Tamandua tetradactyla: one gene and its partners. The protein of the gene in region 1 purifies or fractionates together with the protein of each later gene. This does not show direct contact. Links are inferred from orthologs where the notes say so. Each region holds a gene or a part of one and is shown on either strand. Other genes may lie near its edges.

What was found. The genes of interacting proteins can lie anywhere in the genome.
Region 2: the proteins of CAPZA2 (region 1) and KIAA1671 purify together in Homo sapiens (affinity purification with mass spectrometry; 3 studies listed by BioGRID and IntAct, counting the BioPlex papers as one, with this or other methods). This does not show direct contact. The link is inferred for Tamandua tetradactyla from reciprocal best matches to the Homo sapiens genes CAPZA2 and KIAA1671.
Region 3: the proteins of CAPZA2 (region 1) and SVIL purify together in Homo sapiens (affinity purification with mass spectrometry; 3 studies listed by BioGRID and IntAct, counting the BioPlex papers as one, with this or other methods). This does not show direct contact. The link is inferred for Tamandua tetradactyla from reciprocal best matches to the Homo sapiens genes CAPZA2 and SVIL.

The regions. Positions count from the first base shown.
Region 1 is NC_135327.1:156,403,330-156,410,558, reverse strand, and holds the start of CAPZA2 (F-actin-capping protein subunit alpha-2), read right to left. Parts: upstream 3,008-7,229; 5' UTR 2,887-3,007; coding exon 2,848-2,886; intron 1-2,847. UniProt on the Homo sapiens protein: F-actin-capping proteins bind in a Ca(2+)-independent manner to the fast growing ends of actin filaments (barbed end) thereby blocking the exchange of subunits at these ends.
Region 2 is NC_135331.1:34,798,827-34,805,857, reverse strand, and holds the start of KIAA1671 (uncharacterized protein KIAA1671 homolog), read right to left. Parts: upstream 3,010-7,031; 5' UTR 2,956-3,009; exon of another isoform or gene 2,952-2,955; intron 2,186-2,951; exon of another isoform or gene 330-2,185; intron 1-329.
Region 3 is NC_135327.1:220,644,285-220,651,747, reverse strand, and holds the start of SVIL (supervillin), read left to right. Parts: upstream 1-4,454; 5' UTR 4,455-4,608; intron 4,609-4,726; 5' UTR 4,727-4,805; intron 4,806-5,184; 5' UTR 5,185-5,261; intron 5,262-5,414; 5' UTR 5,415-5,452; intron 5,453-5,632; exon of another isoform or gene 5,633-5,929; intron 5,930-6,672; exon of another isoform or gene 6,673-6,868; intron 6,869-7,463.

The sequences.
Region 1 (7,229 bases):
GACATGCTACTGCGAATGAATAATGTTAAAGAACTTCTCTGTGCTTCTTCAGCACAGACTTATTTCCTATTAATCCAGTGATCAAAGATGAAAAGATTACATTGCATTTCACTGTGGTATAACTGAAAAGCAAACATGCATGAGTGAAAAAAAGTAAAGATATTATTCTAGATTAGTTTCTAAAATGCTTTCTGCCATAAGACATAGCATAAAACTTTAAAATACGCTAATAATAAACTTTGCCCTAAAGTGATAATAACACAAATTAAGTTTAGAATGCAACACTTTAATTTTAGTGTTTAAAATTTTTACTAAAACCAAAAAAGAATCATTGTTTTTCCTTTCTTGAAGTATGTTGCCAACAAATTAAAAACAAGAGACAAACCCAAAAGAAGGCCCTATAATCAACTGTTTGAGGCAGCATAATGCCATTTAAGGAGAGAGTACTTAAACTCAAACTTCGTACTCAGATAAATTTGGGTTTAAAAACATCACTTCTGCCACTTCCTATCTATGCGTCTTTGGGTAGAATTAAAGCTTTTGAAATTTCACTTTACTTATCTATGGAACAGTTATAATACCTACCTCAAAATTACAACAAATTAAGTAATATATGTATTGCCTAACTGAACCAGGCTTACTGTACAGCACTACATAAATTTTAGCTTCCCTTCCTTATATATGCAATTGATAATGGGAATTCCAAAAGCTTGAAAGTATTAAAATTTTATTTATGAAAAATTATAAACAAGATGGCAGAAAGGGTAACATGATTTAACGGTTAGTTCAAAAATACTACTTTTAAATCCTCTCCATTTATGACCCATAACCTCCTCCCCGATAAAAAGACATTTAGGTAACTTAAAGTAACAAGAATGAAATTTTCATTCAATCAGTTACTTAAATTTAGCCCAAAAATTTGGACAGTGTTTTTCTTAAGTTAGTAAATAAAATAATAAAATTCATATGTGAAATACCTACAGAACATTCTTCCAAAACTCAAAAACAAAAAACAAAAACACAAAATTCCTTCAAATTGGAATTTTCACACATCTACTCATAAAATATTGTGCTAGGTAAGATTAGAGAGTAAGACCCCACTCTTTACAGAGCTTAGTGCCCTAAAAGTGTCAGATAATAAAAGAATCTCATCATTTCATTTTCAAAAAACTTCAGCAGTTTAGTTCTATGCAACACATGGCTCTGTATTAACTCCCACACCAAGTACTTTCTCCTCAGCTAGATTTCTAGCCACTTGAGCTACTGAGCACCACTTAAGAACAGTAAAATAAAAACGTGACAATCTTTTAAAAAAAAAAAAAAGCATTTTAGCACTACATGACTTGAAACATGCATATAAGTGTATTTTCAATTACCAACTTATGACTATTTATCAATGACACAAATGTGAATCCTGCACAGCAACTTCTGTGGATAGAGATCTGCCTACAAAGTGATGAAGGATTATGGAGAATTGTTGTCTCTCCATTTTGTTGGGTTTGATCATCATTTCCACCACAGAGCACAGAGAAACAAAGATTTCCAAAAATGAAGATGAGGCAGACTTCTGCATGTTCACACCGGAAGGGAGACAGAACATTACATTTCGACACAAGGATACAAAGATATAAAAACATATGGAGCAGAGTTCCAAATGAAAATATCCTTAGCCCTACTTTAGGATTTCTTAAATACCACAATGCAACTGCATGGCTGTTAACTGCCTCGAAACTTAAAAATGAAGCATTGATAAAAGCGGACATTTCGAAAATTCTAACTACTTTATTGATCTGTTATGTCAGCTACTACTGGGTATGAGAAACGTCAAGATTCTCTCAATACTCAAAATTTAGAGTCCCCTCCCACCCCCATCCCCACTTGGGAGAATGGGCCTCACAGTAGCCAAAGCAAAGAGTGAATGAGAGAACTAGTTCAATGATCAGATTTCTTATTATAAATGTCTGCCTGAGAACTTAGTCGCTCATCTGGTTGCATTTGTCACACATTTCATACACAGTAGAATCTTTCCCTTTCGGAATAAGTACCAGCAGGAAGACGGGGTGCCACCAGATCAGTCCCTAGGAGGGCTCTCGTCAACCTGGCCAGGAACCAACTATGGGGGTGGGGGTGTCGAAATCTTTTTAGGAGCAACTCCGCTGCCTCCCAGGGAACACGGGAGCTGCAAAGGCTACAGCTAAAGCAGAAAAGAAAAAAAGAGAGAGAGAAAAGAAAAGACAAACAACAACAAAAACACCAACAATAAACCTCCACAGGGAATGGGAAGGAAAAAAAAAAAAAAAATAGCAGAGGGCCCAGAAAGGAAGCATTTGCTTTGGGCAGCAGGGAGAAAGGAGGTTTGCTTCGTAGGAGACTTTTTTTCCATTTAGCCTTCACCCCTCGCTACTCTGTAAGGCCCGGCTGTAGGGCTGGGAACTGCTCTTGGGCCGCTCCTGGGTCTGAACGCAGACCCCTATGCAGTCCCCACACAGGCCAGGGCCCCGCGACTCCCACCCGGGTCCACAGCCCCGGCGGCGCCGCCCTCCGCCCGCGCACCCGCCCGCAGCTCCCAGCGCCGCCGCCACCGCCCGGATCCTGCTTCCTATTTTCGGAGCGCACACCCTAGAAGGAGCGGAACGATCAGGCCAGGCAAAGGTCTGTCTCCCGCGCGGGGCCTCCAGTGACTGACAGGGGCAGGCACAGGAGCGCAGGGAGGAAAGAGGAGAGGAAGGGCACGGAGGGCACAGACCGATGGCCAATGCCCTTGCCCAGCCACCAGACTCCGGACTGACAGGCCCGGCCTCTGCTGGCTCCTGGACGGATGGCTTCCGTCGCCCCCGCGGCTCCTACCTTCTCCTCATCAGACAACTGCTCCTCCAGATCCGCCATCTTCCTTCTGGCGACAAACCGCGGTAGCGGCGGCAGCAGCCACCTGACTTCCCCCTTTCGGTGCAGTCCTCCGCGCCGCGCGCCCCCGCCTAGGGAGGAGCCCGGCGCCTAGGCCGCCGCGCACGCGCCGCGGAGCCCAGCCTCCCTCAACCCGGCCCGCGGGGAAGGAGCGCAGCGTCGCGCATGCGCGGGCGCCTCGTAGGCTAGGGAGGGGGAAGGAGACGCCTACCGCCGCCTGCTGCAAGCTTGTCAGCCTCGTGAGTGCAGGCTTCTTTCCTCACCAGTGACCATATGGGCCCATCCTGCAACGAGTACATTCTGAGCCCTTGATTATGTTCCCCTCAAGTGCTGAACTCTGCCAGCCAAAATGTGAAAAAGCGTACGAAAGAAACTTTTTAAGCATTATTTTTTTTTAATGATTATTTAGCTTTAATAATAGGCACAACCCGGTCCATAACTGGAAGGTTGCTCATAATACATTTATTTTTTTCATTCATTCAACAAATATTTATTGTTCCTTTATTGTGTGCCAGGTACTGTGTTGGTCTCTAGGCATATAAAATGTTAAACAAAACCATAGAAAGCCCTATTCTCAAGGAATTGCAATGTTTCTATTCATTAAGCAAACATACACTGAGCATTTGGGAAGGCACTGACTGTAGTCTCAGGGAATACAAAATTATGTTAGAGGTGAGTCCTACACTCCTGAATAGGCTGCCAAATTAAATACAGGACACCCAATAAATTTGAATTTCAGATAAACAACATTTTTAAAGTATAGCCCATGAAGCATTGGGGACATACACTAAAAAGTTATTTATTGTTTTTCTGAAATTCAATTTTTACTGTGCATCCTTAATTTTATTGGCTTAATCTGGCAACTCTGCTCCTGAGGCTTCAAGTTTAGCAAGAGAGTGAAGGTGGACTCAAATAATAGCAGTACAAAATGCTACCAATAAAATTCTATGGAAGATTCAGAATAAATCACTTCTGGTAGAGGGCAAGATTAGGGACTATATCATGGACACGATAATTTTGCTAACAGCTATACCTTAAAGGCTGGAGAAAATTAAGACTTGTGCTGTAGGGAAAAGGGATTCAAAATACAAGAGACAATAAGCAAAGACAAAGAAATAGGGGAATCCTAGAGTATGTAGGGGAGCTAGTAAGTAACTCTAGGTAACTGAAAGTTCAGTATATTTAATCAAAGTTGAAACAAATAAGGCAGGAAAGGAGGCTCTTGCTAAAGGGTTAAGGATCTTGTTTGCCCATCTCCAGTGCCTCTTAATCAAATGGGAATCTTGAAATGCAGTTGCTGATTCTTTGTGTTTGAACTCGAGATTTTGCATTTTTAACAAGCTTCTAGCTGATGTCAATGTTGCTTCTCCATGGACCACACCTTAAGTAGCAAGGCCTTAGAATTTAGATGGAAGTTAGAACTTTATTCAGTAGAAAATGAAAAGCTGTTGGTAACTTTTGTGAACTGGTATGACTTGATCAGAAATAGCCTAGCAAGATGAATCTGACAGCTGCATGAGAATACGTTAAAGAGTTCAAATAACTGTACAGATACAAGACGCTACTATTAAGTAATTTACGGAGTGTTCATAGTATGAATATTACTTGTAAATGCAAAGCAAACAGGGGCCATAATATTGAGAGGTTTACAGTCTGGGCAAAGAACAGGAAAAGAAAAAATGCTGACATCTGCAGGAAAAAAAAGCAGGCATCCTGTTGAGGCTAAAAGGTAGAGAGAAGTGAAAGAGCATAAGCCATGCAGTTTGGCCAGGGACATCACTGGATGTAAATAAATGACGTTTACTGTTTTACAGTTTGCAAGGCATTGTTTTCATTGATTATTCAGCATTAAAAGTGTTTTATTTTCATTGATTATTCAGCATTAATACCCGTTTTGCAGAAAACTGAGGCTAGACGATTTGTCCAAGGTTGCACAGCTCCAAGTGGCAGAACTGGGATAGAATCCAGGCATCTTATTCTATCTTTCATTTTATTTCCACTGCAAGAATTTTCTTTCTCCCTCTTTAAAATCTGGGCACTCTTCCCCAATTAGATTATTCTATCACATTATCAGTTCTATTCATCTGCCACCTTCTACTTCAACAGTACTTCTGGGTTTTTTTGTTTTTTTTTTTAATTTCAGGTTTTTTTCTGTTTACTTAGCAACCCCTTATATCAATAATCTGTACAAATGTATACTCAGTAAACATTGTTGCTTCATTAATTGGCCATTCTCTTCCTTTAAAAACCTCACCCAAATCTGGTAGTGTTTCTCAATAATTTGAGTCATGTTTATAGTGGTAACCTTGGTGATACTTTACATGGTTCCCCATGGTGACACAGCCAGCAAGTATGTATGATTTCTAATCATCTTTTCAGTAACCTCTCGATGTCACCCTCTTGATAGAGTTCAAGAGGAATTATAGAATTCAAGTAACTCAGGAATCCTGGAAAGATTTCAGGCAGTTACATTTAGTGGGCATAAATATAGAATGACCTTTATAAGACTTTGAAAAGAAATTGCACTGGCATTTTTGAAAATTAGCACTTTTTGGTGATGAAAAAAGAAACAAATATTCTTCCCATGCTCAATTTTACATACTGAGTGAGCGTTACCTACCTTTTTCTCATTTAATTTTCGAAACTCACCTTTCTTTTATTGATTAACAAAGTGATCTTAGTCTTCCCAATTAACAGCACCAGAATCTGATTTTTTTTTTAAGTTCTTCCTTTGGCAGTGATTATTTTTAACTTACTTGTAACTGTTTTGATCTCTTTTCCTATGGATGTGCTCTATGTCCTCAAGTAGGTTTAAAGCTCTCCAAGGTCAGAGGTTACCTAATTTCCTAGAATCACATTCTTTGGGTTCATCTAGTACCACCCTCTTATCTTTAGGCCAGCAAATTGAGCCTCAGATAAATTAAATATCTTGACCAAAATCACACGTCTAGTGGATATTATTTTGAACCCTAGTGTCCTGACGGTAAGACTCATGTTTCTTTTTCATCATATAATGGAAACATGTAATACAAATAATAATGTAATATATAAGATGATAGGTACCCAATAGGTAATGTTGACTGACCATTAAATGGTTACACAAGATACAAACATCTGTAAGACACTATTTAGTTCAATATCTGCACTGGAAAACTAATACCTTCAGTTTAAAATTTTGACTTCTGAAAAAAATTACTGGTGTTAGACAACTGATATCTGGTTGTTTGTTACTATCATGCTCACGTTGACATGACATTATTATGTCAAATAATGTCTTTTATAGCAGTGGAGAGGTGTGAAAAAATCATGCATATTTGAAAAACAATTGTCTTTCTAAATAAAATAATTGCTTGAACTATTGGTTCCTTATATTTGAGTAAGTGTGTCTTACTTTTGTCCATTTCCTCAGTTAGTTTTGAAAAGGTCCCTGCTAAGTGCCACCCCTGGAGAAGTTATGACATGAATTACTCTAGAGCTACCAAGAATTACTGAAGCATCTCCTTCACCTGAATATATTTCCTTTATAGTTTGTTCCTACCAACCTTGAAAACAAACCTTGGCCACTGTCTCATATGCACATGCCAGTGGAACACACAAAGCTACTGTGCTGGTTTGAATCTGTTGTGTACCCCAAAAAAGCCATGTCCTTTTGATCCTTATTCAGTATTGCTGGGTGGGAGCTTTTTTGATTATCCATGGAGATGTGACCCACACAATTGTGGGTGGTAACTTTTGATTAGATGGTTTCCATGGAGATGTGTCTCCGCCCATTCAAGGTGAGGTTGCTTACTGGAGCCCTTTAAGGGAGAACCATTTTGGAAAAAGCTTGAGGGTCCAAACAGCCAGAGACCTTTGGAGAGGGAGAAGGAAAATGCCCCTGGGCGAGCTTCATGAAACAAGAAGCCTGGAGGGAAAGTTAGAAGATGTTGCCATTTTCGCCATATGCCTTTCCAGTTGAGAGAGAAACCCTAAACATCATCAGCCCTCTTAAACCATGGTATCTTTCCCTGGATGCCTTGGATTGGACATTTCTATAGACTTGCTTTAATTTGGAATTTTCACAGCCTTAGAAATGTAAACTTGCAACTTAATGTATTCCCCTTTTTAAAAGCCATTCTTTTTCTGGTGTATCACATTCTGGCAGCTTGTATACTAGAACAGCTACTTATGCATGATTCTCTCTTATGCCTCTTTCAGGGCTCTTTTTGGAAGGAAAATTGGGGTGTGTGGCTAAAAGAAGGGGAAATGGAAACTAAGTGGGAGTAGAAAATGCCTTATATTCTCATTTTCTTATAGAGACTTGATCTTGACCATAGCTTCTTTCC
Region 2 (7,031 bases), on another chromosome or scaffold:
GAGGCCTCTGAGCCCAGTATCTATAAAATGGGGACGAAGAGCCTTTCTCCCCCACTTTATACTGCAAGCTGATGAGGATTATAAGTGAGAAGTCCCTGGGAGCTGGGGTATTTTATGACTGTCCCAGTGGGTGCTCAGGAAGGGTTGCTGACCTGAACATTGATACTTCCACGTCACCACTCCTGGGGGCTTTCCTTTCCCCAAATAGGCTGCCATGTCTTGAGGAACGAGTCTTTGAACTTAGTGGCTCACTAAACAGAACAATAATCAATATCCAAGCTGGCAATCAGCCCCCTCCAACCGCATCCCACTTCCCTCTGGTCTCCCACCTGGATTTTTCTGGCAGCTTCCTTAATGGCCTCCCATCCTGGCCTCTTTTCATGACGTTTCCCATCCAGTCTTCCCACAACAGCTGGGGCAAGCTTCCCCAAACACATCTGATCCCATCACTCTCCTGCAGAGAACCTTTCACCGCGCACTGCTGCCCTGGAATAAAGTCCAAACCCCTGAGCATGGCTGACCTGACCCCGGCCAACAGCTCCTGCCAATACCTCGCACTCCCTCCCCACACCCAGGCCTTAGCACAATCCACTCCCAATCTCCCAGCCCAGAACACCATCCTCTCCCCACTAGCAGGCTCTCCCGGAAACCCCAAGGGCCCCATCCCATCCCATGCTAGAAGGCATCAGCCCCTCCCCCTTTTACACAATTGCCTATTTTCTCAAAGGCATTCCCCACTTAAGGATGCACCTGGGAGCCTCATCTCTGAAGCCCCAGTGCCTAGCATAGTATCTTGAAATATTTGTCGTATGAAGAATGATAATTGAAGAAATAGAGTGAATGAATGAATGCACATGTAAAATTTTCCTCTGGAGATCTTTTTCTGAGTTGATCAGAGATAAATTTCGGTGCTGCTGAAATGCTCAGGACTAGATAGCTGGCTGTTCATTCTCCTGCCAACCTCAGCATTGAATAAATGCCAGCCCCCAGGACCTCCATAGGGGGCAGGGCTCTCTCCAGTCTTAGAAGCTGGGGTGAAGGCTGAATCCCCTAAATCACTAATCAGCACAGCTGACCCACTGGAACAGAGGGCAGGCTGACTGCTCTGAACACAACAATGTAATTCCAGGAGGACCTGGGTTGCTCTGAGCCACGCCATACTGATAAGTCCCTGGCAAACAGTAGGTGCTCAATAAATACAGGTTGACTGAATGAGCTGGCTCACATGCCCCGCTGAAACGTGTCAAGACACTGGACTGAAACGGCAGCTCTCATGGGTAGTTGCATCCTTGTCGACATACAAATCCTTTAAAGTGGATTCCCCCCCAAACCATCAAGATCAGGGTTCGTGTTTGCACAACTCCCTAGGGAACCATCCCTGACGACAAAGGAAAGGAGGAGACGCCAGTGTCTGGGGGTGAGTCCGTGTTTGTCCAGGAGCCCCAGTGGATTAGCAAGAGGATGGATTAGCAAAGGGAAAGCTGGGCCAAGGGAGGAGCCTTGTCCAAATGCCCTGGTTACTCATTAGCCAAACCTTAGAGCTTCTCTCTGCAAAGGGGAATCAGAGGAGCAATTAACCCCTTAGGAAGAAAGGCCAAGTTAAATATCTCTTTAATCCTGCGATTAAAAATGACAGCAAGTCAGACTTTTGGACCCTTCCCTTAGACATCACAGAGGAAGCTTCAGGAAATGAGACATGGGAAAGCTGGGGCCCTAGCACTAATATTTATAGAGCCCCCACCTGCTTCATACCCATCATCCTTATTAATCCTGACATACTCTCATAAAACGGAGGGATTGAGCACAAACACACACCATTTGCTGGAAAGAAAACCCCGGCTGGCTCAGAGAGGTTGCCCAGGGTCACAAAGAAGCTGCACGGAAAAAGCTCTTTCTCTGTGCAACAGGTAGAGCCCTTTCCTTTCCAAAAGGCGACGGCTGCTCCAGGCGAAAGTTCAGTCCGAACCATAAAGAAGCCCTGGCCACCTAGGCGGCGCGCGGGGCTCACCCGCCCCGCTTCGGACCGAAAACAGGGTTTCAGGGCGCGGTGCCCAGGTTCCTAGGCCAGCGTGAGCCGGGAGGGTGTGGAAAGGTCAGGCTCCGGTTGGGGTCAGTGGGCCGCTTCCCTTCCCGAAGGCCCCACCCGTGGCCCCGCATCCGGGCCTGCCTGCAAGCTGCCGGACCCAGTCTTAATCCCACGAGGCAGCCTGTGCCCTGGAAGGAGCGCGGAGTGGGGCGCAGGCTCCGCGGGGAGGACGCGTCCGGAGCCCCGGCACTGGGGAGGTGGGGGGCGGTGCGCTGCCCTCCTCAGGCCCCTGCTATCCCCAGGATCCTCTTGCCTTGGGCTCGGCCTCACTCGGCGCCCTCACTCCCAGTGTCCACCTCTGGGGCCTCCAATCCACCGGCGTCCAGAACCCAGCAGCTCCAGACTGGGTACTCCGGGATCCCCGGCGATCCCCCAGCTCCTAGCTACCAGATCTTTCCGAATCCACTCCCTCTCGGGCCGGCGTGAGAGAAGTGGGGTACTCTCGCTGCCAGTCCGGAATCACCCTCCTGCACCACCACCCCCAGGCCAGGTATCTAGTGGGATCCCGAGGCCGCCTCATCTGGGATCGACTCCCAAGTCTCTGACCCGGCGGCGCGGGATCCATTGGTTGCACTGTGCGGGATCTTCCCGAGGGATCGGCTCTTAAGCCTAGAGAGAGAGAGAGAGAGAGAGATCCCTGGCTCCCAAACGGGGGTGCCCAGCCCCGCAGACCCAGGATCTGGGGAGATCCACCGGATCCCGGCGCCCCCGCCCCCTTCCCAGCCAACTTTGCCAACTTTTCTCTCGGGGCCTCAGCCGGGCAGGAACTTGGCAGCCATCGTCCGCCACCGCCTCCCCGGACCCCCAGCCCGCCAGGGATCTGGGAGCTGACGGACGGCCCCCATCCCCCGCGGCCTCCGCTCACCTACCCTGGAGCCGCCGCCGGCCCGCGCCGCCACCTGCCCGCAGCCCGCGACACCTGCCCGCGCCTCCCGCAGCCGCGCGCAGCCTAGCCTGCTGGGGGCGGGGCCTCGGGCGGGGACGCGCCCCCGTCGCCATGGGGATGGCGGCCAGCGGCGCCTGCGCGGAAGGCCCCTGGGCGGAGCGCTGTCGGCGCGACCCCTGCCCTCTAGGCGGCCCCTGAGCCTGGGGACAGGGCCGCGGGGTCGGAGGTCGCCAGCTCACCCGGGACCCCCTTCCGGAAGCGTCCCCGCCCGCCTCGAGGCCTGACCCCGCCGCGTCCGATTTGGAACGTAGTTCCTCGGTCCCCGCCCGCGTCCCCGGGGCGACCACCGAGTTCCGACCCGGATGCCCCAGGGCCTGCAGCGACCCGGCCGCGGGGTCTGCACCCCCGAGAGCCTAATGAAGCCCAGGGGCACTCATTAGGAGGCACTCGGGAACCCCTAGTCCATTGAATCGCCTGCGTCGGGGCCGCCAGCCACCGGAGCAAGCGGGCCCTTGAGCGAAGTGCTGGCGTCCCCGCGCGGCACGCAGGGGGCACTGACAGCTCCCCGGAGGCGCAGGGCCCGCAGGCGGGGCAAGGGGTGTTCACCCCTGTAGGTGCCTCCAGCGTGCGAGGCCGGCTGCTGTACGTGTTGGGAGGGACGTTTTGGACAAAGAATCACAGGGAGTGGCCCCTGCATGAGAAAATGCCTATTAATTTTACTTTTCTTTCCTCATATCATTCAGCAGACCTTTATTAATACCAACTGTATGCTGACATTGGTGAAGGAGCTGACAATGAAAAACATCCATTGAATTGCATTTGTGACGCTTGATAGGTGCCCCTGAGGATGAGTACAGAGCGTGAATACCCGAGGACCTAAAACCCTATGTGCATTTATTGTACATCAGAACACGAAAGCGTTCAGAAGAGAGAAAAGAACGCATCATGTGGCTGCAAGAGAATTGGAGAGGAGCTCATTTGCTTCCTCTTTCTTTTAGGTTGTTGGGACGTGGGGGTGGGGGGTCAGCAATAAGAAGTAAGGGCAGCTCTTGTAGAGTGAGTTACCCACTATTTCCATTGTTCCTTTTCATTTGCAAAGCAACTTTTTAAAACCTGGGATCACCCACCCCTTTCTACCTAGGCGCAGCCTGAGGCTCCTTAAAGGACCAGCCCACAGTGATGGAGCTGTGAAGTCCTGAGATCTGATGTCTTAGAATAATCACCTCTACTGTCTAGATGTCTTGAGCACAATCATAACTGGATCTAACCTAGTGACTTTCAAAATCCACCTTGCCCCTCTAGCATGGCTTTCACATGATATGTGTGTGTTATATAAGCAAAAGGGAATTATTATTTATGGTCTACCTCCCTCTCCAGTGTCAGTTGCTAGAGGATGGGGACTTTTGTCTGTTGGGTTCACTCCTGATTCTCAGTGCTTAGAGCAGGGCTTGGCACATAGTAGGTGCTCCATAAATATTTGCTGAATGTATGAGAATGACGAGCAGCTGATAGTGTCCCACCTGCCGTCTCTCTTTCCTATCCTTAGAGGAACTTCCTGCCTCTCCTTGGCAAATCTCCATGAACCAGAACATATGAGCTGAGGGTTCTGTTTAACTGAACGTCCCGTGTTTCTGAGATCCCAGCCAACTCAACCCTCCACCTCCACAGCCCTTCCTTGTCCCAGAATGTCAGCACTGGAAGGAGAAGACGGGCCCACTGCTCTACCTTCTGCAGAGACCCCAAACCCAGACCTGTCCTCAGTCTGACCGTGCCCCCACTTTCCACTCCAAGAAGTGTCCAAACTTTGAGGGGATCCCAGAAATGCCAAACCACAACTCCCAGACTCCTCCTGGCCCCAGAAGGGGCAGGACTTCCTGGTTCAGTCCTGACTTAGCTGTTCTTCCTGCATTCCTGTATTTTCCCTCCCAGGTGAGAGACTGCCAGCCAAGACAGCCTGAGATTATACCCTAACCACAAGTGGTGTCAGGTTGTATGTTGTTTCCAAAGCCACCCCCTCCCCCAGCCTAGGTTTTCCTGAGGCTATGCCAGCTCTCTTTAGATTACCCACCCAAGGATTTTCCCAAGAACCCCTTCTCTGTTCACTTTCTGCCTCCACCTCTAGGAAGTCTGCCCTGATTGGGCTACTTGTTCTCACGCTCTAGCAACTCTATCCAATAGAACTTTCTGCAGTGATCAAGAAATTCTATATCTGCACCGTCTAACATTAGCCAAGATGACTATTGAGCATTTGAAATGTGGCCAGTGAGCCTCAGGAACTGAATTTTAAATTTTACTTAATTTAGATTTTAAATAGTCACATGTAGCTATGGCTACTGTTTTGAACAGTACAACTCTAGAACCCACACACACCCTGGCAAAGATCATATTCACGCATTTCCATTGATGCATAGCTGTGTGTTTTGTTTCTCGTATAATTTACCTGCCCTTGAGGGTGAGATCCGGTGTATTCTTTGAAATGTTCTCCCTCGACCCTGGGCCTTTGTCCGTGCTATGCTCTGCCTGGCACATTTCTACCTGCCCATTGCCTGGTTAAATAAACCTGGTCTTCGGATCTTAGCTTAATTTAACATCGACTCCTCCCAGAAGCCATCCCTGACTACCAAGGCTGAGTTAGATGCCATAGCCCTACCCCATATCAAACCACTGAGAGCATTGTAGTATAATTGCTCATTTACTTCTCTGTCTCACTTTCTAGATTACGAGCTGCTTGAGGGCAGAAGCTAGCACAGTACCTGAAACAGAGCTGTTATCCCATAAATATTCATGAAATTCATATTGAGGATATGTATTCACATGATAGGATCCAGTGCCTGGTTCACAGTAATGATATTAACAAAAGTGATGGTTTATTGAACTAAGTGCTTTGCCTGTGCCATCTCATTAAATGGACATAGCAATTCTCCAGGAGAGGCTGTATTTTACAGATGAGGGCTCTAAAGCTCAGAGAGGTTAAGTAAATTGTCCAAGGTCATACAGCTAGCATCTAAGGCTTAGAAAACAGAATATGAAGCAGACCTTAATTCCAAAGCAGCAAGAGTGAAGGAAAAAGAACTGCGATGCAGGGGAAGAGGGAGAGCAAATACAAGATGTGACTCACTGGGCTGGCTATAGCGTCTCAAGAAAACACAGCTGGCATTTCCTCCATGCTGGGCTTCTCTGGAGAAGCTACATGGAACAGCCCATTGTAGGGAGGAAGGGCTAGGACTCCATCTGCTGGCACCTCCCATGTCCTGTTCACCATGAGTCACAACACAACAGCTTCTCACTTCTAGGCTGTATTACCTCCCTCTCCAGGCAGCTAGGAGGGGAGTCAGTTTCCTACTCAGGGCTTCACCTGAGTCTGGAAATGGAGGCACCACAACCCCCAAAGAGTCCAGTCAGGCCAGCTTGGGTGACAGCTGCAGATGTTGGGAGCTCGGGCCACAGCATAGGCCATGTCCTTGCAAGCTGAGCTGCCCCAGTGGCTGCAGCAACTTACCCATGCTACCTTCAGGGGCAGGGGGGTTAGGCACCTAAAAGGGGCAGCATTCAAATTCAGTACAGCTAGTAGACATCAAAACAGAATTTAAGACCTAGGTGAGAGTAACTCCAAAGACCTTTGACAAATATTCATTGAAAGAAAAAAAGGAGTATAATTGAATGACTGAGCAAGTGGGGGCCAGCCCTGTCAATCCTCAATTCCAGACTCTCATTTTACAGATGGAGAAACTGAGGCCAGAGAGGCAGAGACACAAAAACTGAAGTTACATTGAGTATAGGTGGCAGAGTAGGACTCAAGTCTCAGGGCTCAGGATTCCAACTTCACCCATAGGTTTTCTGCACTGGCTGAAAAAAAAAACATCATAAACATGACACAACTGTACCCTCCTGCTTCCAACAGCAAAACTTGGTGTGTGCTTATTTGTTTCATAACACTTCTTGTTTCTCCCTGCCCAGCATTCATCCCCATCCCCACCCCCTGATTGGCACCTCAGGTTTCCTTCCGGGACATGCCTCACCCCTCACCCTTAGCCTAAGTAGTTTCAGTGTGGGGCAAAT
Region 3 (7,463 bases), about 64 Mb from region 1:
CATTATTGTCTGGGGTAATTGACCCTGACTATCAGAAGGAAGTAGGACTGCAACTACATAATGGAGGTAAAGAAGAGTTTTCTTGGAATATAGGAGATCCCCTGGGGCGTCTATTAGTACTACCATGCCCTGTGATTAAAATCAATGGAAAACTGCAACAACACAATCCAGGCAGGACCACTAATGGCTCTGAGACTTCAGGAATGAAGGTTTGGGTCACCCCACCAGGCAAAGAACCACGGCCAGCTGAAGTGCTTGCTGAGGGGAAAGGGAACATGGAATGGGTAGTGGAAGAAGGTAGTGATAAATATGAACTTCGACCACGTGATCAGTTACAGAAACGAGGACTATAATGCTGTTTTGTTTGTGTTATACTATTTAAGTTGTAAGATATCAAGTTTAAGAATGAATGTTGCCCAAGGATTTGCACCCTATTCTGGAGAGATTTAATGTGTTTCCAGTTGTATGCAGGACAGTTGAGTATTGTCAGGTAAAAGAAAAAATGTGTGCTTATTTGTTTTCATTTGGAAATTAAGTATGGTCTAAGGTGATATATATATATAGGTGCCAAGTTGACAAGGGGTGGACTGTCATGGTTAGGGACAGGTGTCAACTTGGCCAAGTTATGGTACCTGTTCATCTGATTGGGCAAGCACTGGCCTGTCTGTTGCAATGAGGACATTTCATAGGATTAGGTCATGATCACATCAGCTACATCCACAGCTGATTCCATTTGTAATCAGCCAAAGGGGAGTGTCTTCTGCAATTAGTGATGCTAAATCCAATCATGGGAAGCCTTTTAAGGAGGACTCAGAGGAGACAGGTTGCCTTCCTGCTTTGGCTGGTGAGCCTCTCCTGTGGAGTTCATCCAGGCCATCCATTGGAGTCATCGGCTTCGCAGCCTGCCCTGTGGATTTTGGACTCTGCGTTTCTACGGTCACGTGAGACACTTTCATAAGTTTTATATTTGCAAGTGTTCCCTGTTGATTCTGTTTCTCTAGAGAATCCTAACTAATACAGTTTGCTACCAATTTTAATAGCCAAAAGAAAGTAGGTATTGCCAAAAGAGGCAGCAGCATAAAGAAAATATTGCCTGGCCCCCTGGAGCAGCTACTTTGAAAGGGGTATGCAACCTCTGCTAAGACAGTTCAGCCCACTTATATTTTCAATTCTTATTAAAACTTCCAGTTATTTATTTCCCTTGGCACCCAAACTACTGCTAATTTTTTTGAAATTAAAGAAGGATTTATTGATCATAAAATTAGAGAGGACAAGGAGTCCAGGGTGAACTATAACTGAAGAATGGTCTCTGTTTTAGAAAAAAGAAATCAACTGACACCCATCTAGTTTAGCTTAGATGGTTGAGACATAGCCAGAGTTATAAATAATAGCAAAGATTATTTCAGCCTCCAGGAATTTTTCAAAACCACATTTTTTTTTTGCCAACCCATCCCATTTTCTTTTTTCAAAAGCTGAAGAAGAAGGAGAATCTGGAACCCATTTTAAAGTTTTGTGAAAGCCTGTATTTGCCACAGTCTGATTTCTTTCAGATTTTGTCCATCCTTCACATCCAAAATATAATTCTATAGTAATATTCATGGCCAAGTGGATTTTTATGTCAAAGTAGGGGAATCTACAAGTTGCCTTTTAGAATTTCTTTTCTATTAGAACTTCAGCTGCCCTGGTCCACACTATTTGTCTTTCTTTTAAAAATCTCAACCATATTCACCAGAATAATTTAAGCAATGAAAAAAATTAATAGCAGTAACATATATTCTTTATTTACACAGCATTCTTCTCTCATAGATTCCAAATTTAAGATTAGGGAGTGAGAACATTGCCTTCTAAATACTTGTGGGTTGGATCTTGGATCTACTTTTCTTTGGTTGAAGGTATTTCACATGGGTGGAAATTCTTGGCTTCAGTATCAAGGTTATAATTTTATAAGAGTCTCTTGTTATCTTCCTTTGTTACATCATCTTATTTCATTTCCATCCTTCTCCCAGTAGACCCTCCAGACTAGTGGAAGTTTAGGGATTAAAAAACTCTGCCTTTCAACTGAACACATTGTTTCTTTTGCTGCCATCTCTCTGGACCTCTTCTATCTCCAACTCTAACAAAGAAAGCAGTTCTTTTATATCAGCAAAGGTTAATGTAGCAGATTGAATCAGCCCCACTTTCCCTCAAAGACATGTTCAAGTCCTAACCCCGGTCCTTGAGTTTGGACCCATTTGTAAACAGGAGCTTCCAAGATCATATTTGGATGAGGCCATGTTGAAACAGAATGGGGCTTAATCCTTATAAGGAGAGGAAATCTAGAAAGAAATGCAGGCAACTGGTCAGGGCCAGAAGCTAGAGAAGGAGAGAGAGAGAAAAAAAGTGTCATGTGATAGAGGCAGAGATACATCCAGAAGCCAAGGAACCCCGAGCATTACAGCAAGCCAGAACACTACCTACTCCAGGAGAAAGCATGGCCTGTGGATATCTTAATGTTGGACTTCTAGCTTCCAAAACCGAGGCAAAATATTCTTGTGGTTCAAGCCAACCCACCGTGTGGCATTTGTCATAGCCGGCAAACTAGGACTTAGTAACATACTTTTAATCTTGCAACATTTGTGGGGAATACTAAATTAGGAAATCCCACAAGTACCTATGGTTCATGTTTGGAAATCTCAAGGAACACAAGTTGTCTGGCTACACATCAAGCCTTCTTCGGCTTCTCCATATCACTGATCTCGTTTCTTCTCACTCCCCAATATATTCCAGCCAACAGCTCTCCCCACACTCATCTTGCAGGTTTTCACCCATGCTCCTGCATGCACACCAGATTGTAAAAGCATTTACAAGACACCTACTGTATGCAGAAGGAGTACTGTGTTTCATTCTCCATTCTGCCAATTCCTTGATTACAAGACTGGCTCAAAGTATATCATTCCAGAAAATGGTCTTTGCTTTAACTCCATCCCTCTCTGATGTCTCCTTACATATGTGTCCTCTGGTGAGTATAGTTCCAGGACTGCCTAATGCAGAGTCACTCCAATTTTTTTAACCATGATCCACAGGAAAGAATAAATTTAACAGAAACACTCTATACACACACACACACAGATATATAGTCTCACAAATATAGTTAACTGAAACAAAGTTTCATGTAAATAATACTTACTCTTAATATGGTACATGTTTAGTAATTTTAATTCTTTTTTATGTTTTTTAAAAATGCTGATCTTTAGCCACAAAATTGATTTCAAGATCAACAGTTTGAAAAACCCTGTCTAAGGAACTCTGGAGATTTAGGAGGCATGGAAACTAACTTGGGATTCTAATGGACAATAATTCAACCAGGAGGTGATTTAAGGGAGAATGTTTATAAAGTATTATCAGAAAAAGTGACAATTGCTATAAATAAGATATTTACGAACAAATGCTAAGTATGATCAAATCCTCTGATTTTCCTAAGAATTCAGTGATTTCTTAAGCAGACTTTTTTCTTTTTTACAAAATTCAATCTAGACATCAAATTTACAAAAAAATAGGAGGGGTGCTTTTCCCCCAGGAGCTCCCAGTTTAATGGAGGGTACAGGAAAGTGAATCAATTATTACAGTTCCACGCCCTGCGAGGAAGGAGGAGCACCTCAGTCAGAAAGGGGTGGCAGGTTTCCCAGAGCCCGTGACTCCCCAGAGGAGAGCGACACCTTCTCTCCAGACCAAGAAAGTCGGGAGTGCAGAAGTTCCAGGAGTCCAGAGTCCAGAAGGAGTGAAGGGCACAGATGGGGCAAAGGCCAGCGACCAGCAAGCAAAGGAGTTGAATTTTCTCCCAACACATAAAGGGAATCCACTGAGAGTTTCCAAGAAAGGCAGAGGGATAACCAGCTTTTCATTGTAGAAGGAAGCAGTGTGGATGGGGCTGGCTGGTTGACGAGCCGGGCTGGGGGCTGGGGGAGCTGGGCAGCTGGTTGGTGCCAAAATCTAGAGGAGAAAGAGTCAAAAGTCTGAACGGGGGCAGTGGTGTGGGAGCGGAGAGGACCGGATGCCTCGGCGGCATTAAGGATGTGGTAGCAAGTGGACTGGAGCTGATTACGTGGGTCAGGTCTTGGCTGACTCTCGGGTCTCTGGCAGGCCTGAGTTTGTGCCATCCACTCTGGTGGGGAAGGCAGCGGGAGGACCAAGTTCAGGAAAAGAGCTCGATTACGGATGTACTGAGTTTGGGATGCCTCTGTTGATCCAAGAGCTACTTGGATAGAAGGGGCTGGAGCTTGGGGAGAGGACTGGACTAGAGTTAGGTGAAGTCAAGAGTTGGATGAAGCCACAAAGGGAGGAACAGAAAATGGGACTAGCAAAGGACTAGGGTTGAAGCCTGGGGAAAGCTGCACTTTAAGGGAAATTACTGCTTAGTGGCTCAGATGTTTCTGGCTAGTGTTGGGTCAGCCCCTGCCCAGGCTTCCTTCCTGCCTTCCCGAGCTGCAAATACCTCCCCAGTTCTCCTGCACAGGAAGAGGAGGAAGAGTCATCAAGGCGGTTATTCAACAAAGATCCTCTTTTAGGAACCCACAGCCTTCTGGAGATGGCACAGGTACCCTGGAGAGGGCACGGCTCCAACAAAGGCAGGTAAGGGCAGCTGTGTGCCTTGTCAGGGACAAAGGGCAAGGGCTAGTTCTAAAACGGTTTCTGGGGCAGGGGTCCCAAATTCCTGCAGTGCTCCCAATCTTCTTTTCACACCTTTCAGGGCTGCCCTGTATGTCTTCCAAAGCCCCACGGGCTGAGTTGAGAACGCTGCTTCTTTGCAAGATCTCAAGTCCCACAAGGTACTTTGTGGGTGTGGTGACCCCAGCTCCGTCTCTAGTAGAGGGTGTGGGGTGGGCTATTAGGGATTAGGGAAGGCTGGAGCTGTGCTGGAAGCCTTGCTGTGCTCGAAGCCTTCGGGGCAGTGAAGCTCACCTTTCGCTTTTCTGATAAGGGCTGGTCTCTATCAGCTTGGCGCACACTCAGGAGTAAAAATAAAAAAAGTCTAGCACTCAGAGGAAAGAAGCCTGGGCTGGGGGGGAAGTTAAATGTCTACCAAAACACACACGTAACATTTGCAAATTTATCTGCAGCTTTGCAAGTTATCAAGTAGTCTCACAAATGCATCAGTATCACCAAGAAAACTTGTAAGAAATGCAAATTCTTCCGCTTTCCCCGTAGACCTACGGAATCACAGACTCCCGGGGTGGGGCGCAGCGCGCCGGCTCCGGGCTGGCTGAAGTTTGGGAAGCCTCGAGGTAGGATGTGGTCCCCCTCGCCGGACAGGCAAATCGGAGGGCGTAGCGACCATTTCACAGTTGCTAGGGGCCCGCCAGGACGGTCCCCCTGACAACTGGCCGCGAGCGCCGGGAGCGTTAACGTTCACCGACGTGGGTGTGTTTTATCTCCAGAACGCCTGGAAAGTCAGGGCCCGTGGGGTCGCGCCCAGGTAAGAGGCGCCCCTAGGACCTCGGGAAAGCCGCACGCGCGCCTGAGTCGGGTGGGAGCCCTGCGCTCCTGGCGCGTGCACGTGGGCGCGGCAGCGCGGGCGCGGGGCCGGGAGGGCGGGCGGGCGCGCGCCGAGGGGGTGGGTCCGGGCAGCCGGGCCGGCCTGGCACGCGCTCCGAGCCACTCAGCGCGCCCCGCGGCCTGCCCCGGGGGCCTATAATTAATCCACCGCGCTCGCCAGCCGCGCCGAGACGCCGGGGAAGGAGGCGCCGGGTCAGCCCTCACGGACCTCGCAACTTGTTCCGCTCAGCGAGTCCGGGCGGGCCGGACCCTCCCGGCGTCTTCCCCGACAGCGAGTGGCAGCAGGGAGCCCCGCCGCCACCGCCACCGCCGCCGCGGTCCCCTGCGAGTGTGCGCCCCTCGAGCTCCGGGGCCCGGGCAGGTGTGCGGGGCGCTGGTGCGGGAGCTGGCAGAGGAGGTGAGTGACGCCGGGCAGTCCGGGCGGGGGGGACGACGCGCTCCGGGGGGGCCGCGGGCCTGCGACCCTGTCCTCCCTCACTCGCCCCCCTCGGCCCCACTGGACTTCCCTCAGGGCCTGCGTGGGAAAGGCGACCCTGCTGGAGGTGTGTTTACTCAGGGGAAAGCGAGTCATTTGATTTCTGCCACTCCCCCGTCCCAGGCAGTGACACTCAGACCTTCAGCTCAGCTGGAGTCCGAAAGCCCTTAGCGCTGGGCCCGTGGCTGCCCTGGAGCTGGACCCCAAGACTTTCTCCAGCCCCAGGACCCAGGGGACGTGACACGCACCGCCCTCCTACTCTGTCCTTTTAAATTCCGAGGGTAGGAGAACGAGGAGGGCAGCTGCGGTACAGGACACAAAACTCCGTTTGCAAACACAGTAAAACCGGCCTTGCCAGTGTTTTAAAACAGGACGTGCACACGACTTGTGTGGTTTCCTCGAGACACCTGGCCCGCGACCGAGCGTCAGTGTCCCCTGGCGCCGGGATAGCTCGGGGCCCCTTCGCGCGGGGCACGGACTCCAGCCTCGGCAGGGCGGCCCCAGGATGGCCCCCGAACACTGGGGAGTGGGTGATCCGCGCTCGGCCCGGGGATCCCCGCGCCTGGCTCAGCTCCGTGTCCCCGAGCCGCGGTGCCCTTCTCCCTGTCCCCGGGTGCCGCCGCCCGGTGGCCCGGCAGAGGGCGCCGGCTCGCGGTCACTGTGCCGGGCGGCGAAGGGGAGGGGACTGGTGCGAGCCTCCAGGTAAGGAGCGAAATGAATCATCCCGAGAAGGGGGCACCCAGATCCTCGCTCTGCGGAAGGAAACGAGGAGTGGCCGCGGCGCTCTGGAGAAGTTGGGCTTCTCCCGTCCGGCGGAAAGCGGCGATTCAGAAACTGGAGGTGTGGGGAGCGCTCGGGAAGGTGAGGAGCGTCCCTCCCGCGCGGTGGCCCCGGGGGAGGGCAGCGGCCACCAGGGTAAGGCCGAGGACACTAGGGTTCGCCGTTGCGCACCCCGTCCGCCGCCTCGGGGACCGCAGGCAGGGTCCGCATCCGGATCCTGCGGGGGTGGTGGCGGCGGCGGCAACCCCGGAGCCCCCGGAAGGCGAGGAGGAGGGCCGATGCCTGGGCCCTGGCGGCTGGGTTCGGGTGTCCCCGGAGGCCCGCGGGGTCCAGCCGCAGTAACAAAGAGGCGGCGCAGCCCCTGTTCCCCCCACTTCCGTCCCCGCCGCGCCCGGGCGCGCGCCCTCGGGAGGTGCCTGCCGGGCGGCGGGTCAGGGTTTCCCTGCGCCGAGTTTCGGGAAGTTTTGCTGGCGGTCCGTTGGTGAGGAGGGGCTGGGTGCCCAGCTGCGACACTGCCAGCTTCCTCCCGGGACGCGCCCCGCGGGGGTGTGAGCTCCTGCGCCCGGGCTGCCCGCGCCCCGCCTCCCGGCCGAGCCCTGCGCTTCAAAAGCCCCGCGCCGCGCGCCCTTCCTGCGCGCTCCCGCACCCCAATCGGGCGTGGCGTGGGCGCGCGCGC